Linked DNA regions of Struthio camelus. The protein of the gene in region 1 purifies or fractionates together with the protein of each later gene. This does not show direct contact. Links are inferred from orthologs where the notes say so. Each region holds a gene or a part of one and is shown in the gene's direction. Other genes may lie near its edges. The genes, in order: SLMAP and PDCD10.

Region 1 (10,133 bases):
TTAATTATATATTAATATAACGTTGTATTAAAAGTATGTTACATAAGTATGTATATAATCTATATATACCCTGTATTAATATCACATAGCTACATAATTGCTATATACTATACTATATAGTATCTTGTTACCATATACAGAGTATAGCATATAATCTGTATACTAATTATATGTGTTTGTATATTTAATATACAATATAAATTATGTGGTGTATATATATATGTATATGATGTAAATTACATTACTATAATTGTATATAAAGTTAGTAAGATATTCACTCGTATACTGTTCATATATCGTGTACTGAAAGATATTGCAATGGTTCTTTATATGGAGAAAGTTAAACATCAAGAAGGGAAAATAAGTCTGAAATTAAAGAATAATGATATCAAACAATAAAAAGGTATAATCCAACCTTTGAATGAATCAAGACCAATAATCTAAATAGATTTTCTAATCTCCAGAGAAGTAACATTTTGAAAAAAAGTTTTCCAACAAGAGTAGCAGAGACTAAAGTCTTAATAAGTTTTAAGGAGGAGCTCGGTGAGCTTATAGGAAGGATTTTACTGCCACTGGAAACAGCCAGACCCTTTCCACTCACGGACCAATGTTTATATCCGTATGGAATCTTTTGCAAAAGTAGTTTAGATGCAGTAGTTCAAAAGCTGTGTAGCAAAGTCTGTAGTTAAACATGCATTATAAATCAGCTCTTGGATGCTGCACAGGCTTATTTTCTACAGTCTGTTTATCTAGGATAATTTGTCTCTTTTTCAACACTGATCATGAAACTAGTGAATAGCCTATTAGCAAATACCTGTTGTTATTTTCCAGTAATGATCATCATTCTGAGGATGCATTCTTGCTCCGTTTATTTCTCATGATACAGCAACGCAGAGAGAAATAAACTGCTGGAGATCGTGTTTGTAGAATGTGTATGTATTCAGCAGCTCCTAGAACAAACAGGTATCTGAAAATTCAGATTGGATTGTTGCTGCCCTGAGATACTCCGCATCTACACCATTTATTCCTGTGACTGTCCAAAGATATGAACTATTACGCATGCACAGAGTATTGTGAATTTTATCAAGAATTGCAACCAGAATATTTCAACAAATTGCAGAGAGAATGACTGACCACATCTTGTCACTCTTTGTTTAACTTTTTTCTTAAGTAGCAAAAGTAGTCCTTCAAAGTCATTACTTTTTCAGTAGTTGCAACTCAAAAGCAACAGCAGACACTGTAAAAATATTGTTCGTCTGAGATGGCATGCAGCTAGTCCTCCCCCTAGCCCTCTAGTGGACAGGAAGCGATTGCTGTGAACCAAAATGTTTTTGTAGTGTGAACACGCAAATTGACACATTCGTAGTTCAAAGGAAAATAAGCCTATTGCTCTGAAAAAAATCCTTACATTTTGACAGTTCAGCTTGGTTGTGGGTGTCTCAGCAGCAATTTCTGAGGCAAGTTCATCTTGCAAAAGATAATACAATAGGATGTAGATACCAGTTCAGTTTCCAACTTTGCTGTGTATTTCCAGACTCACCTATGTAGAAGCAGATTCCTTTATAGGCACTTTTCAAAATTTAGTATTGCTTCAAACAGTGTAGTTGCACACACAATTTGCTGAATTTCTGGAAATCAGTGAGAAGTTAAAGTAATAAATTGCTGATGAGTTTCAAGGATGCAAACTCAGTATAAGACTGTGCATCTCCAACTTTCTCTTTACAATTTAGCTGTTTATTCTGTTTTCATTTCAGTTTGGATCTTACTTTTTATACTCCAAACTAAACTTTTTCTATACAGCATGCATCATTCCATTCCAAATCTAGCAAACTCTCTTGAGTCAGAATCTCCCACTAAGCAATTGGTTCACAACCCCTCCCCACTGACAATCTTGAGCTCATATATATTGATATTTCGGTAACCTTTTAGATCATCACTGCACAGTATTCAGAGATTTGTCGTTGAGTGACCCATAATGATGCTCTGCTTTTCCCTAGGCAGTTAAGTGAATTCGGAATTCACAATAGGATTCCTGAAGTAAAAGATCTTTCTATTTTCAGTAAGTTATTAGGACTGACGAATCTCTCCTGCACCTTGACACACTCAAACCAAAGTCCAGCTGTTTGGCAGGCATGCACATGAACACTACCACTTCTGTATTTCATCATCCTTAAATAGGCACCACTTCTTTAAGAGACAAACGTGGTAGTGCCCTCCCTTCCATTTCCCTTATCCAAGATGGACACAGAGTGGGCCCCTTCTGCCCTCAGCTATGATGGCTATCATAACACTATTATGGACTTCCTGCCCTGAAAAAGGATGGCCACCTAAGTGGCATCTTGCTGCCCTTACCTAATATGGCTGTCAAAGCTGACTGCCTCTTTTGGTTGTGTGGCAAACAGTGGTTTGCAGAACTGAAGCATGTGCTTACAAGCCCTTCCTCCTGCTGATCAACCTACAGTGGCTGATCATTTTAAACCGAACTCCTCGCATCCACCTGTTCCTTTCCTCCATTCAAAGACACTGACTTTCTGATAAGTATCAGATACCTCAAAAAAAACCCGTAAGAGTTTGTATCCTCAATTCAGAATGCAATCACCTGCTATATTTTTAACTTTGTTGGAGTCTACCTCTAATAACTTTTGAACTCGTTTGCCAATTTGAAATAGTAAAAATTCTGAAATATAACTGAATCCACCCAACTTCTGTGAAAGCTGGCACTTGTACAGAAAAGGAAGGCTCAAATTAGTGCCCCTACTGAAAAGTAGGTAGAACTCTCTTGTTACATGAGCCACTTGTCAGTGTGCCAACAAGCATTAGAAAGACAGCTGGCATGTGCCATTGCATCCCCCATGGGACTGTTGTAAAGGATGGAGGAGAGTTCAGAATACCATAATATACCAGTGGTTAATAGTTTACTAAGGACACAGACACTAAGCGTATTAGTTGGTTAGTTCCACTGCCGACAGGATGGCTTATTTGAAAAAGATATTGTAGAGGAAATATAGTACCTAATTTAAGTCTGGTTAATAAAAATATTTAAAAATTATAAATACCTACAGTGAACCTCAGTAAAAGATACCCACTACTTGGTTGTTTTTCTTTTCTTTCTGTGACTTTTACTTCTCTCAGTTCTCCTAGACTCTGCAAATGCTAATGGGTCTTCATGTTTGAGTTGACTTTTAAACTGCTTTCTCCATTAAACATCCCTACAAACATGTAAGAAATGCTATCTCATAAACGTTCTTTTCATTCCAACATCTGCAGGACCCTTTCCTCCCTTTTTCTTTCTACTCCTTTTCAATTTCAAAATGTTCTGAATTATTTCTACTTTTCCAACTATTTCCCTCAAATCTAACTCCTGTTGGACTTAAATTTCCCTAACCTCTTTTTATACTTCTTTCCTCCTCCCTTCTGATTCATTATGGCACCCTGTATGCTAAAATCAATGCACATACAGATTCCCAATTCTTTAAAATATGAGTAAATTAGGAATATTAATCACAATATTAAAATAGTACAAACAAGCTGATGAAAGCTGTGAAGGCGGCGTGTCAGATACATATTTTACTCCTGTCTGGAGACCTGAAAACTACTGACACGTTGCCACACAGCTTCCATGTACTAGTCTTTCTCTTTTTGTCTTCAAAAATTGAACAATCTCATATTGGATTTCACTTCTTTGCCTCAGATACAGATGTTAGCCTGCTTTTGTTGTCTTTCTTTCATTGGATCATCGGAAGAGTACAAAACTAGGCTGTAATGAATCAAAGATACCGCATCACAGTACAGGCAGAAAAAGGGAGAAAACAGCAGACCTTGAGACGTTACTGGGCTGTGACTAATGTAATCATTCTTCCTCTCATACGCTGCACTGCCTCACCCTGCTTGTTGCCCATTTCCCTCATCTATTGCCAGTTAAACTACCTGGCCCAGCTCCTCTTCTCTCCTCCACGGCTGTCTGGCCTTTCTGGCATCACGCAACCCCCTCATCTCTCTAATCCCAACACCTTGTCATGGGGTAATTATAGGTGCTGGCACAACTCCAGCATGAGTCTTATATCAAACAATCTCTGCTTGTTTGCTTTATAGGGACTGACTGACTCATAAATGAATTCGGACTTGAGAGACCTGTTCCGCACTAACCTACTGTATGACCTTGAAAAAACAGCAACCCTGCCTCGGTCTCTGCAAAATGGGGAAAAATGGGATCTTGTGTGATGCTCCGAGACCTACGGAGGGAAAACACTGCACCGGTGACCTCCATCTCTCTGTCCTCCCCCGACCTCTCCGTGCCTGCAGTTACCGCTTCGAGGTTCTCCCCCCCCCCCAACGGCCACACTGTAACTGGACTGAGACAGCAAAACACAGGCTGTACTTCTCCCTCCCCAAAGGACGTCAAAAGCCACTGCGAATTCCAAAATCTCCTGCTCAAGGGCACCCACACCACTGAAGCAGCAGGAAGGTTTCAGCGAGGTCCTTGCCTTACGGAGGGATCCGCTGCCAAGGCGCAGCCCCGCTGCCTGACGGCGCCCGCTCACCCGCCCCGTCCGGCGAGGCGCCCGGCCCCGCAGCCTCACTCACCTCAGCCACCTGCCCCTGCTCCCACCTGTTAGCGCGTCCCCGCTGCCGCCCCTCGCAGCAGCAGCAGCCCCTCTCCCCCCTCACAGGAAACCCGCCCGCCCGCTTCCCCCTCACACCTGCAGCCTCCCGCTCCCCTCCCCCCTCCCCCCGCCCCAACCGCCCCCCCCCGCACCACCCCTCCCCCACCCTTCCCCGCGCACCCGGAAGCGGGCGGCGGCGGCAGCAACGTAGGCGGGGCCGACGCCACCGCGGCGGCTTCACGGCGCGCAGTGCGCCTGCGCAGCCCTCCGCGCCCTCGCCTGCGCCTGCGCAGCCCGCCCGCCCGCGCAGCGCTTGGGGGCGGCCGCCGCGCCTTCCCTTTGGTCAGGCCCCGCCGAGGACGGCTCCTCCCTCCGCCACCGCCTGCCCTCCCCCCCCCGACCCCCGCCCCTCTCTCCGCCCGCCCGCGCCGCGCCGCGCCGCGGCTGCTACACCGGGTAGGTTTCCAGTCACTATGGCGGCCGCTGCGCTGAAGGTAAGGGAGGGAGCCGAGCCCTGGCCTGCCCCCTGCCTCCCTCAGGGCCGGCACCGTAGGCTGGGGGGAGGGGGGGTGCGGGCGGCCGCGCCGCGCGAGGGCCGAGCCTGACCCCGTTTGTTTTCGGCTTTACAGGTCGGAGGAAAGTTTTCGTGGCCGGCGGCTGCCTGAGAGGGCGAGCTACCGAGCGGGCGGCGTCCGGGCCCGGCCTCCAGGCCTCTCCCGCCGCGGCAGGGCCGGCCGCCGCCGGGCCAGCGGAGCGCCGCTCGGCGGGCGCCGCGCGCGGGGCCCCCCGTGCGCAGCCACCTGCGGCGGGGCTGGGCTGGGCTGGGCTGGGCTGAGCGGAGCGGACGCCGCCTCCCCCGGCCCGCCGCTCCCCGCGCCCGGGGGGCTTCTGGCCGAGACTTCCTGGAGCAGCCCCCCCCCCCCCCCCCGGCTCGCCGCCCTCCTCCGCCGGCCCCCGCGCCGCCGCCCGCCGCGAGGAGAGCCGCCGCCGAGAGACGCTTCCCCCGCTTCTGCCAGCCGGAGTCGTCGCAGGCAGCGCCGGGAAGCAACCTGTCAGTCTCCCTCGCAGGCGGTCCCCGAAGGACCCTTCCCACGCTCGCGTCTGTCCCCGAGAGGGGAGTTTGAAGCCCTCTCCATGCCTTATCAAGTTCCTTATCAGAGTGGCTGCCTGAAACTGTAGACCGGTTCAGCTTTATCTGGCGCAGGGGAGGAAAACGGCGTGGCTCTCCTGCTCTCGTGGCCCCATCCTTAATCGAGGACCACCTCTTTTGCTTTGTTTTAAAATATGAAGATGATGAAGTGTGGATTGCTACGTGAAACACCTAGATCCTTGTTGCGGAGCGAGGGCTTCGTATTCACCTTCCAACTCCTCATCTGTGCGCTTTGAGACAGGACGCTAATCCTTCTCCCTTTTCCCTCTTCCCTAAACCTTTCCTTGCTTCCATGCTGCATAGGTCAGGATTTTGGTCAGTGTTGTTTACGGAAGGGGGAAAAAAGAAGGCAGTTGAGATCCCAAACAAAAGTATTTGTATGACTCATCTAGTTGGATTTAAGACATCCTAGCCTTCTTTCAAGGAGCCTTTGCTTCTCTTTGAAGGTATCAGATGCTTGTTCCTGTTCTTCCAGAGGAGGATGGATTGAAAGTTGTGCATTTCAGACTTTTTCTGGGCCACTGCTATTATTAAAAGACATAATGGGGCTTTTTCACTGGATTATTGCCAGAATTAGTTTACACACTGAACGAATGAGTTGTTAGGCCTCTCCTGTACAATAATGTTTGTTCCGCTTTAATGTAAAGTTGCTGTGGAGGTTTGGGTTAAAAATTGTGGAGGACAGTCTGCATCAGAAGAGGTTCTCTTCATCTCTGGTTGGTGTGGCAACCCCAATCTGTCCTCGATGCCTTCAGCCTTGGCCATCTTCACTTGCCGCCCGAACTCACATCCGTTTCAGGAGCGTCATGTCTACCTGGACGAGCCTGTCAAGATTGGCCGCTCTGTGGCTCGCTGCCGGCCAGCTCAGAATAACGCAACTTTTGACTGTAAGGTGCTGTCCAGGAACCATGCTCTTGTCTGGTTTGACCACAAGACAGGCAAGGTGAGATGTTTGTTTTCTTCAATTAAAAGTACGTTTTTAGCAATATTACAGATCACTTTAGTTTCCCTGTAATAGATATGGTTGCAGGTGGAAGCAATAAGATTTGTATAAGAGCTGGAGTGATTCTCAGCAGGTAAGTTGATAATTTTGTATTAAGCTTTAAATATTATTTTAAAAACATAAAATAATGGTCAAAGAAGGTGGTGAGGGTTGAAAAATTTGCGTTCTTGTTCATTGCTGGAAGGATGTGGTTTTCAAGGTGAGTAATAATTCCAAATCTGAAAGCTTAGGCTTAGATAAAATCATAAAAGAGTATTTTTCAAATGCTGAGAAATCCCTATTTTTTATCTGAGTATGTAAATAAATCTCATTGTGAGGAGCTGTCAAAAAGCCAATTAAAAAAAAAAACACCTGATGTTGCGTGGCACTCTTCCTACTTGGCCTGTTTTCAATTTTAGAACAAGTATTCTGTTATTTTGGTCTGACAGTTTCTCTCTGGCAGCAGGAGTCCGACAAATGACGTGCAAGTTGCTATATCATTGACAGCGAAAATGTATTAAAATACACTCTCTACTGTCTTAACCTATTACCCTTTCTCAGAAAGACAGTAGCTATCACGTTAAGTGAAATTTAGGGGCTCTGTAGTTCATATTTTGTCCGCTAGGGATTGAACTGGGACAAGTAAAGTCATTTTACTTAACCGCTGTCAAGTTAATTTTAAATTTCCAACTAGAAATGAACAATGTGCAGATTACAGTTGTTCAGCACTGTCTTTTAAATATATTGATGTTATGTCCTAGAACTTTAGTTACTGTAAACCAAATTTTATTTTCCTCTCCTATATGCCCTTCTATGAAATGTGATCAGTGTAGCTCTTCATTTTTAAGAGTAATATGGTCTGTACCTAATGCATTTTTTTTTTTTTTTTAAGTAGAGTGACACAGCATAAGGAGCAGTAGAATACAGTCAAAGTTCTTAAACCTTTCCGTGTTAACTGTCCTGTGTTATGCAATCCCTGGGCATGATGGGACAAGACAAGCATTTAATTTCTTAAGGCTGGGTTGTGGCATGGCTTTCAAGTTACCTGCATTTAATTGTGCAAACTACTATTCGTATAAGTGTTTCATTAAAAATGTTGTTTTGGCCTCTTAATGTATATAATGTACATTCTTCTGTTAGACACTTTAGAAAAAACTTAAGTGTATTAAATATAGGTATTTTCACTTTAAGGTTACTTTGTAATCTTTTATTTGACCAGACAAACTAACATGTTCTGATTTATTATACTGTTTTTAATTTAAAACATGTTGTGCGTATAGCTCTTTACCAGCGTTTCTCATGATCTTTAAAGATTAAGACCCTCCAGTGCCCACTTACGGCTATAAATAGGCTAGCCATATTCAAGATGGTTTAATTTGACAAAGCTTTTTTGGTGTTGAGCAAGTCTGCTAACTCACAAAGGAGCTTAAAAAGCAGTCAGCTCTTTTGTTGCTGCTGTTTTGTTCTTAAGTTTTAGTTAGCTTTGTTTTTTCTAATACAGGCCAAACAAGTGATATACCTGTTTATTTTATCTAGGTGATCATAATTAGCGAGGTGGTAGTAGTAAATAGACAGTAACATATGATAGCTCTTGAGATTCTGTCTGATGAGAAGTTGATGGAGGTCTTTGAAAATTGCCTAGATGGATATCTAGGTCAGTGGCTATAGCTATCAAGTAAAGACTGGGTTTGGGTTGATGCACAGGAGCGCGTTACTCTAAATTTTACGTGTTAGATGTAGTACTGTAAAAGGTTTAAGGAAGAGTTTGGACTGTATATCTGTTTCTTGGCAATACAATCAGGTTTTGGGGGGTCTGATTGAGTACCTGTGGTAAATTCTGAAGAGAAAGTGATAATTGGAGAAGAGGGGAAAACATTATCGGAGGTGGTAGATATAAAATGCTATTGGGAAGGGCTGGTAGGAGATATGTTGGTATATATAGTCTTAATCTTATTCTCGAATCACAAAAAGTATTTAAAAAACATTCTATGGTATTTTCAAAGTACAAGCAAAAAACTAAAAATTATGCCAAGAACATCTGCGTGCAGGCAAGTATATTATCACTGTTTACAGAACTTCAAATAAGCACATCTCATTTAGGAATATATTGTTATCCTATCAATGATCTATATTTAAACCTGCATACATTCTTTTTGCCGCAGTATTTGTAAGCATTTCTCAGAAACATGAATGTAAGACTTCATCAATTCTGCTTTTTATGGAAGATAAAAGACCTTGAAAGGTTAATTTAGTAACAGAGAGAAACCTTCAGATAATTCAAAAGAGTTTATGAATGATTTAAGGCTATAGTTTCACAATGTATGGACTTCGGAAATACTGTTTTCTTACATTCCTAGTCACTCTGTCCAGGTGCTGTGCTGTCTCTTAAACTGCTTTTCAGTTATGCTGTAAGTTTTTTTTTTTTTTTTCTTGAGGGTTTGGAGGTGGGTTTTTTTTCTTCCCCCTAGTTAATCATGTGAGTGATCCTGTTTACTACATAGTCCATAAACAATTGTATCAGCATAATCTGTGGAGAAGGGTAGAAAGTGGAGAGAGGGAGCACTGGTAAATATTGGCTAGGGAACTAGTGTCCGAATTATGTGAGGGAGAGGTAAGCTTAGCTGAAGAAAACTGTATAAACAGACTGAGTTGAAGATGACATGTTATTTGTGGTTGAAAGATGTGAATGTTTGCTTTGTATAAAGACACTTTAACTGTGCATGGCAAAAGCTACCTGCCCAAAGGAGCTAATGTCTATATAACACCGTTATTACTAAAAATAATTGAGGAAATAAGTCTTCAAGATCAGCAGTAAACAGCAGTTAAAAGCAGATATTTAAAGCTGCATTTGTTTGTAAAATGTCTTCTAACAAAATGAGCAAACTTGAAAATGTGTATGCTGAAGTAGAAAGTGGTAGTGGGGAATACCTGTTTTGAGCCTTTTCTGCACTTAACCATTTTTATAGAAAAATGGTGCGATGTCTCCTTTTGCTTGTGGATTTTTCATACAGCAATAGCAGTAATGGCTTATGCTTAGGATTGTGTGTGGTGCTCCTTTGTTTTGTTTTTGTTTTTTTGGAGTAATTGCAAATTAATGAATCTTTTTAAGGATATCTGAGAAAGTGACTCACTAGATACGTAGGAAGTGGATGTTGTGCTGAGCATGAAGTCTTCCAGACAGTGTGAATCAAAGCAAAAGAAAGCGTGCTACACTTAAGAAAAATCTAAATGATATATTTGTTCAGCTTCTCTCATTGCATATTGGCAAAAACACTTTAAAACGTGCTTAACTGAAATAGTCTTAAATCTGAACTTGTTTTTTAAGAATAAGTAAATTGAAGAACAGAATTTGTGTGCGACTTCTCCCAGGCTGAAATGCTTCTGGAAGTTTTTGGTA
Region 2 (9,258 bases), on another chromosome or scaffold:
AGAACGTGTGCGTTTGTGTACGTGTGCAAGAGATTAATATAGAAAGAGCGAAGCCTTTGGTTTTTGAAGCAATGCAATCTAATGTAGCTTTACTTTTTCACAAAACGCACAGAATATCTTATTATTTACATATGTTTAGTATAATATGTGATCACCTTCAAAAACGAAATTTGGGTGAGAGAAAATAAAGAAAGATCACATCATTCTTTCAAAGAAGATCTCCTAATAACCACGTTAAGCTATTTAAGGAATAAAAGAAATGAAACATACTCCTAATGTGATTGATGCAGTTTATTTACAACTCTGCCTTTGTGTATTGCTTTAAATTTTACATAGCAAGTAGAGAGGAAAAGTAAGACCAAATCTTTACCCTTATTATGTAGCTGTAGGATTTTCTTCCATCTCGCAGCTGCTAGTTTCATTATCTCCCATACGTGATTTTACATGATTTTCCTAAGATAAGCAAGTTCTATTCATGAATGGGAAGCTATTCAGAACTATTAAATTGCATTAGGTGAATGATTACTAAGAGGAAAATAGAATCTACATTCTTCATTTTCAATTGTGTTAATATCTACAGGGGAAAGGAAATGTATTTTTTCTGTCAAGTCAATCATTTAAAAATTAGAAAGTATTTCTTCTCCTCCTGTAGGAATGCATGTGACAAACTATTTCCACCCAACCTCCATGAACCTTTCTTTATCAAGTACACAGGACTAACAGTACGCAAAAGACACAAAGCAAACAAGAATTTGAAGTATTTTTCCAACTTTAACTACTCTGGTCTTTTCCATGTATTTCAGGGAAAAATACAAAGTTATAAACAGCCAGTTGTGAACAATGATAAGATATGTACTTCCCTACCATCCATAAATTATGCTGACATGTAACCACCTCTATTTACTGTAGAGATATACAACTGTATATAAAATAAAGAAAGCTTGGCATTAATTATTAAATCCATGTTTACACACTAATTTCTAATTATTTTGGCCATATAGCATCATGAAGATGAGGGCAGCCTAAACACTGACCATAGGACAGAGGTACTTGATAATAATTCATATTCACTAGGTATTTTATAAAGACAGAATAATATATTGCCTACACAGAACATGGACTCTTAGAAATTACTTTAAAAGGTGTTCAACCATGTCAAAAGTACATCTTCATAGATGAAGAGCAACCACAGAGCAAACTTGAAATTGAGAAAAAACAAGAAAGTAATTTTCCAGCAACCTATCTAAAGAGCCAAGACTAGCTAGATTTTAGATCTTAATGTGAAAAATGCTACTAGCACTAACTGTTCTCCATTACGTTCTGCAAGACAACAATAGAAGTGGAATTAAGCTACATGTAAGCCCATGACATTTGTATCTATAGAATAAATTTAGAAAAAGGCTGCAATGCTTTAACATTCACTTTTTTAATAAGTCAGCTGACCAAAAAAAAACCAAAACCAAAATAAAAAACCCCAAAGCATGCTTAACAACTTAGCGCACTTCACAGCTCAGAGGTGTGTTAATCCCAGTCATTTCTGGAATCAATCTTTTCATGTGAGCCAGCAGTGTTGTAGCTAAAGCATTTAATAGCCCAGGCACACAAGACTGTGTAGATTAAAAAAGTAGGTAAGTAGCTGGGTGGTGACTTCAAGAATACTGATTTAAAATAAAACAAATAAACTAAACCATCTTGAACTGACTACAGAATGTGAAAACATAGGATGAAGAGACTGTGTGGTCAAGATAACTTTTGGAACTCATGTCTGCATTTAACATAACCTTAACACTGCCACAGACCTTCCCCTTGTGTTCTCCTAGCTGCTTCATGTAATTCCACAGACAAGTGTTAGATCTGTCTTAAACTAGAGGCCCTTAGAGTCAAAACATGTTGAGAACCTCTCCAAATTACAATTCAAAACCAGCCACAGAGGAAGTTTATCCAGTCCCTTGCTTACAGATTCATATACTTGCAATATGAGATTGCTCTGATTGAGCAAAAAACAGATTATAGTGCTCATCAGTTATGTAAGTAGGCCCTTTCCCCTGCAGATATTAAAACAATTGAAAATAAAGAATATAGATTCTATTTTACTCTTGATAATCATTCACCTAACTAGTCCTGAATAGCTTTCCATTCACAGACAGAACTCACTTATCACATGGCAAAGGTAAGATAACCCTTACGGTTTCTTTTTTTTCTCTTAAAAGGAAGATTTGGGTTGCCTTCTGCCTTCCTTACTTCTGTAAGACACATATGCTTGCTATACCTAACTACTCATTACTGAAAATACCCATATATTTGTTATCCAAATCTGATAACCAAAGGTAACATCAAACAAGGGAGATCTTTCTGGGCTTTTATCAGAGAAAAATGATTCAAAAGATTAAACAGCATCTTTCCATCATTACCCTTGCTGTACAGGGGGATTTGAGATCTCTAGTGCACACCCATGCATTTTACAATGCAGCAGAAATTTAAAGACTTCTTCTTGCTGTATCTTTTGATTTTAGGTTTCTTTTAATTCCAATTCTCTCTCTTCCCCCCATCCAACACCATTGAAACCAAACCAAGAAGAGGCAGAAAAAGAACCCACTCCTTCCTAAGCATAAGCAATTGTTTCAAACTTACTTGCTCTCCCCGCTAAGTCTTGAGAGCCCTACTTTCAGCTTTCCATCAAAACACGCAATTCATCTTTTACGCTTTGCCAACTTCAAATTCCCTTTTGGGAGGATATGAAGAAAATAACTTGGAAAAATGTGGTATTCTTAACTTCATCTTGTGTTATGCAAATATTTGTTAGCTACATGTCTTTCTCAAGTTCAGTTACACAGGTGATACTCAAACTACCTTGAATTTTTTTTTCATGAACATTTAGCTACGTAATTTTTTTTCTCCTGTTATTTTCCCCACATGGGTTAGAAAGAACAGAATGAAGAAAGCTGAGCCTTAGGTAAACTACACAGATTTTCAAATATCTAAAAAAGCTATACCCTAGACCATAGAAGTACCAATCTGTTGTGGGGTAAACGTATCTTAAAACTTGCATTATTAAGGTAAGGGATTATTTAATACAATATCTAACCCTAAAGGGGTTAGGTAAAAGGGTAAAACCTCCCTTAAAGAAAAAGGGTAACAACAACCATTCCTTCTCTCTCCCTCGCATCCTAGAGGGTAACTCCTCATCACACTCAAGCAAGCTTACAGCTACAACAGTTCTGAAAATCGTGAAGGAAATGAAAATAGTGAAGTATAAATCTGGTCTAAGACCTCCCTGCTTAAAAAAAATACAGAACTTAGGAAATATAGCTGATAGAGGGAGAGAGATAGTTTAGAATATTCTATTTTAGAAGCTTTGTGGCTTTATTTTAAAACACTGATTTCACAGAAAAGATAAAATGCCATAGACAAGCATAGACAGCATAAAATGCCATAGACAAGCATAAAATGCCATAGACAAGCATAAAATGCCATAGACAAGCATAAAATGCCATAGACAAGCATGTACCTCAATCTATAAGATGACATTTTGGTAAAGTTTCTCATCTAAGCAGGGTGGCATAGTTTTTCATCAAACTAAAGTACTGGTCCTTTCAAAACTGGTAAGATAAAAGACTTGGTGTATCAAAGATAAGAGGCAATTAATGAAACATTTCAAGCATATCATGCAAGTTACAGGACTGATCCTTTAACAGCCAGATATATTAAATATTTGACACACTGATCATACATAGATCTGATTACAACAAGAACTGGTGGGGAAAAGGGAAAAAATTTGTACACACAAGGAAGTGCAATAATCCAGGTGTCCTTCTAAGTGTTCTTGCTTACCTATGTGAAGCGTGTTTTGAATTGTTAACATATGTGGGTATATGTGCATGATATGTACGTTCAGAAAGACAGATGTCAGAAGTCTTCCCACTTTGCCATTTCACTGCTACTAGGAGTCACAGATAATGCTTCTTAAGTTTAATCAGTTGCATACTCATTCACCTGCTTGCATCAGAATTTGGGCCTTGTTAATATTAGGCCACGCTAGCCAGTAATTTAAAAAAAAAGTTTTTGTCCTGACGTATGCAAAATGCAGATACAAACCTAAAACTGAATTACACACTTCAACAATATTAAATTCATTTTAAATACAATTAAAAATTCAAGTCTAAAGCTTTTCAGTAACACAGCTGTTTCTAGCAAATAACGTGCAAGTTTATTTAAATTTCTTAATGGACAAAAAATGAAATACTCTGTATATGGCAGGTATATATACTATGTATATGTTTTATGAGCACTGAAATGCTTTACAATGTTGTTATAAGTAAAAGGGAGGATACCATAAGATAAAGCTGGAACTTCTGCTTTTAGACAAAAAGGATTATTCACAGTCACAAAGTTCATAACAAACAGAGTCATGGGTCAAACGGTCAGGGCACGCAAGCATTTTAACTGAGAAGGGAAAGAGTAGCTGCTGTAAATATCCGTATAAAAGTTTACCCAAAATCTTCATGCGTAATTGGACCTTCCTGGGGACTAGGAGATGGCCAGGTAATTCATTAAAATATATCTTCCAATCTTTTTCCCTGTGATTTCCGACGAAAGGAAAAACCCGTGCCTCAAAGGAGGGAAGCCCGTCAGGACAGGGCTTCAGAAGTACAGCTCTATTCGGGCAGCTACCAGAAGAGCCGCACAGACCTGTACTCTATCACCCCCTCCGGCACGAACGAGTTTTTAAGTACTGCTGCAGCACTTAACCACAGAATCACTGGGAGACAAAGCGCCCGTACCACAATAAAGACGCTGCGAAGGGGAGCTGAGCGTCTCCTCAGAGGCGCGGTTCTCGCCTCCGCCGAGGAGAGCGGACGCGCTCCCGGGCGCCACAGGCGGGTGCAGACGCGCACAACGGATGACTTAACAGCAGCAGGTTTTATATCTATTCCCCCGCCCCCCCCGCACCCCTTTCTCTAACTTCTCCTGCCGGCGGGGAAACACCTTCCTCCCTCACCGCCTCCGTCCCTGCCGCGGCGGGAGGGAAGGCGGCGCGCGATGCCTCCCCTCAGGCGCTAACGGACGGGCTCGCGCGGGGAGCGCCGCTCCCCGCGGCCGTTACCGCCACCGAGCGACGGCGGCGGAGAGCTTCCCACAACCTACGGGACGAAACCACGCTGAGGAAACCTCCCTCCCCAAGCGCTGGCAGGGAAGGGACGAGCACACTCACCGCCCCCGGTACTGCTGCTGCTGCCGCCACAGCCATCCAACCGACACGCCCCCGCCCGCTCACCTGCCAGCGCACCCGCCGCTCCGCCGCGGGCAGTGTCCGCCGCGCCTCGGACACCGCCTGGATATTCTTCCCTACCCCACCCCGCCCCGCCCCGCCCCGCAGAAGCTCCGCCCCCTCCTCCCGCCCCGCGCTCCGATTGGGCGCCCCCTCCAACCTACTCCTCCTCCAGGTCTCCGCCCCCCCCTCCCCTCCCCCCGGGCCGAGCGCCGTGTTGCATTGTGGGACGCGTGGTGGCTGGCGGCGGACTACAAATCCCAGGAGCCTGCGCGGCTGCTGGCTAGTTCCGGGCAACGCCTGGTGTGTGGTAACAGCAGCAGACTCTTCCTTCTCGCAGGCACTTCCGGCGCGGCGACGAAGCCCACTCAGGAGCGCTGGGGGCTCGGCGGGGCGGGGGGGGGGACGGTAAGGTGCCGGGTTGCTGTTGGCGCGTGCCCGCGGGGTCTCGCGCGCGCTGCGGGAGGGCCAGGTTTGGGGTCTGTGTGTGTGTGGGGGGGGGGTCGTTAGTGTGTTTGCGTAGGGCCTCGTTCTCCTTTCCAGGCTGCGCTCCGCTAGGAGCGTAAAACGCCTTCGAGCATTGGGGCCTGGCTGAGGGGCGCGGGGGGGGCGGCCGAGCGGCGGGGGCCGCCGGCAGCGCCGCCCTGAGGTGAGCGCGGGGCGGGCGGACGGGCGGGCCTCGCCGTGCGGCGCGGAGTGAGGGAGGCGCCCCCCCTCTCGTCCCTTCCCCTCGCCTCCCCGCCCGGCCGCGGGGGTCTGGCCCGGGCAGGCAGGTGACCGGTTTCCCCTTGGTCTGAGGCCTGGTGCAGGCTCCTACTTCTCGCCGCACTTCCCTCTCCCGCGGCCTTCCAGGGCCCTCCCGTGCTGCGGCGGGAGCCGGAGGGGGGGTGCCCGCCGCCAGCCCCCCCCCCCCCCCGGTCCGGCAGCCGTCTTCGGCAGGACGCCCGGGCCTGGCAGAGGCAGGCCCGGATGTGTATTTTTAGCTCGTCCTAACGCTTGCGAGGAGCATTGTCAGGTGGCTTGGCCCCGCTGCGGAGCGGGAGCGCTCCGGCGGTGCGGGCAGGGTTTCGCTAGGCGGGGGGGGGGGTGGGAGGAAAAGCGTTTCTCTTCCTCCTCCCCCCCCCCCCCAAAAAAAAAAAAACACTGTAAAAGGGGCAGCTCTGCGGCTGCCCTGCTCGAAGCCAAACGTGACCGTGCCCGGCAGCCCGGGCTCAGCTGGCCGGCAGCGCTGTGCGGGGCTGCTGCAACAACAGTCTGGAGGGACAGTGAACGCTGAAGGATCCCTCTAAACTGCTCATTTAACTGGTGACTTGGCTTGGTGCCCGCAGCTTACAGGTGTTGGGGGTGCGGGTAGATGGCTGAAACCTTGGGCCAGGTTTTGTGTTTTTGCTGTATCAGAGGAAGTAGTTGCCTTCTGTTATTCATTTACTTGTTGGAACATGTTTGTGTGTTTGAAAGTGGTTTTGGTTGTATCTAGTTTCTTGGAGTATTTGATAAAAGAGTAGAGACAGAAATATTATGTTTACCTTCAAGTTCCCAAAGGGGAGGTGGGGAAGAGCTTGAAAGAGAAGCTGACATACGTTGTTTCCATTATGTATCCTAAGAGTCGTGACCTGTGTCAGTTATAATATTTTTAATTTAGGTAACTAATGAAATTGGGGTGCAGTCCAGGAGGCTATTCTTGTTCCTCCTGTGGCAAGCACAAAAAGTAGATATGTTAGGAAAACTAAACCATTCTCACTTTGAAGTTCAGCATTGCAGAAGAATGTGAATTAATTGTAAGAGTGATTTCAGAATAAGTTTATATTAAGATTTTTTTTAAAGTTGATCTAGCAGTAGACTAGTTGGGTTTATTGTGAATTGCTTGTGTGACTTCTGAATCACTCATAAGAATCGCGGTAATATAATGCATAAGCAGTTAAACTTGAGTTCACTCTGACAAAGCATAAGTGGCTATAGTGTATTTCAGCGAGTGTTTGGAAACTGCAAATCTCTTCAGTAGAATGTGTTTTAAAGAGCCTTTTAAAACTTGAGTGCTATCTTTTGATGATACTCTTTCTGTTATCTTTTCAGGGAAACTACTGGATATACAAATTAGAATGTGGAACTATTGCAGCAGAGTGCCTTTTTAACTTTCATGTTTTTTCTACTGGTTTTTGGAATACAGAAGTTGTCATCCTAGTTGAACTGTATGTTAATTCCAGTGAATGGTCTGAAAGTGAATGTTGAAACTTAAATTTTGAAATCGCTTCTAATTTTTAAAATCAAGCCTATTGGGCATAATGTTTTGTGCTATTCAATCTCTCTTATATAATTCAGTATTTCTTGGTGTAATATCAGGTTTTTGTAGGTCCCAGACAATACTGGAAAACATACTTGCAACACTAAGCATTTCGGAGGAGGGAGGAGGAAAGATCACAGTGGCAGAAAAGTGAACAAAATGAACTTTAAAAACAGTGCAGAAATACTACACTGAGATTTTTTTCATGTGTTGCTACCACTTTCAGACAGCACAGTGGAGACGATTTGTAATGCTCAGACTTGGCTTTTCAGTCCTCATCCCTCTTCCTGCCCCCAATACACACGTTAACCTTTTTCTCCTTACTTGCCTCATTGCAAGGAAAAAATCTTCACGTTTTTTTCCTTTTTTCCTCCCTTTCTCCAGGTGGCTAGCGTGCTGCACAGGGAATGAAAGTAGAGCTAAAGGTGATGTTTTCTTCAGTGTAAGCCTTTGGTTTCTCTAGTGGTTGCAGTAACTAAAAGTAGAAACCCATGTTTGTCAGCTAGATTCAGCGGTGGGTTTTGGATTTTTTTTTTCCTGTTTGTTTTCAGAGAAGGTGAGGTATTTCTCCGCAATATGTAGAAATAGTTTTTCTTGCTTGCCATTCAGAAAGTTGAAGCCAAGGCCTTCAGAAAGTGAATGACAAGGAATTAACTTCCAAATATCTCAAGCCAGCCAGCCTTACCTTCTTAGTATTCTTATTTAGACAAAGCCTTGTTTGCTTGAAAGATCACCTACTTCAGTGTTTTCTGGCAGTCTTTTTGCAAATGCTTACTGCATCATAAAGTCACTTAAATTTTTGAAAGAAGAAAAGTAGTTCTATATCTTAAGTACAAAGCTTAAAATCTTTGTTCTGTGTGCTTTTAAGTTATACAATGGGAAATGATTACAATCTAATTGAAGTATAGTGCTAGCAGGCAAGTTAATGTCTGAAAAGGAAAAAGTGTTTTTTAACTATTTTGAATGGCCATTAATAAGGGAAGCATAATAAAGCAACCAAACTGTGTGGGGTATGTATACAGTTAAAACAATATACTCTATTCCCTCCTGACTTGTAAATTTGTACTTGCACTTAGTTAATTAAAGAGACTTTCTTTTCGAAGAAATTCTTGACTTTGTGCATGTTGGATTTACAAATACAGGCCAAACTTTTTGTCTCTGTGAATACAGTGTACTATTCCTACTAACTGCTATTCCCCCTGCCCTTTCTTCTTGAGCAGAAATCAAGATTTTTTTTTTGGTAGAATGGGGATTTTTGGAGGGCTTTTTCTTTAACCTGATGTTCTTGAATCCTCACTGCAACAGGTGGAACAGAATTCTGGGCAATAAGGACAGCTTTTACCAACAAAGATAGTCATAATTTTGGTTCTACCCTAGAAGCCCACTATTGAAATAATCAATCTGATTGATTGGGGCTTTCTTAAAAGGAAGATTGTGGTTAGGCATTAATGCCTAGGTGCTTAAGGTTTTCCTGGAGAATGGGATAAAGACAGCATTATACTGGTATAGGTAGGTCTACTGGTGGCAGGATGTCAGTCCTGAGTTATGCCAGTTGATAATGTTTCTGTTATTTAAAAAGGGAAAAAAAAACTTTAGCCTTATAATTCAGAGGCTATGCTCTCTTTAAACGCAATTTCAAAAGCTAGTATTAAACAAACACCTTTCTTATGTTCATAGATATCTCACTGGCTTTTGCACTGGTCAATGA

The links.
Region 2: the proteins of SLMAP (region 1) and PDCD10 purify together in Homo sapiens (affinity purification with mass spectrometry; 3 studies listed by BioGRID and IntAct, counting the BioPlex papers as one, with this or other methods). This does not show direct contact. The link is inferred for Struthio camelus from reciprocal best matches to the Homo sapiens genes SLMAP and PDCD10.

The regions. Positions count from the first base shown.
Region 1 is NC_090955.1:15,300,362-15,310,494, reverse strand, and holds the start of SLMAP (sarcolemmal membrane-associated protein), read left to right. Parts: upstream 1-6,366; 5' UTR 6,367-6,499; coding exon 6,500-6,697; intron 6,698-10,133. UniProt on the Homo sapiens protein: Associates with the striatin-interacting phosphatase and kinase (STRIPAK) core complex, forming the extended (SIKE1:SLMAP)STRIPAK complex.
Region 2 is NC_090950.1:28,961,547-28,970,804, forward strand, and holds the start of PDCD10 (programmed cell death protein 10), read left to right. Parts: upstream 1-5,465; 5' UTR 5,466-5,572; exon of another isoform or gene 5,573-5,741; intron 5,742-5,861; exon of another isoform or gene 5,862-6,042; intron 6,043-6,480; exon of another isoform or gene 6,481-6,574; intron 6,575-7,342; exon of another isoform or gene 7,343-7,458; intron 7,459-7,934; exon of another isoform or gene 7,935-7,975; intron 7,976-9,258. Other genes in the region: SERPINI1 (neuroserpin), read right to left, coding at 5,213-5,248. UniProt on the Homo sapiens protein: Promotes cell proliferation. Modulates apoptotic pathways. Increases mitogen-activated protein kinase activity and STK26 activity. Important for cell migration, and for normal structure and assembly of the Golgi complex.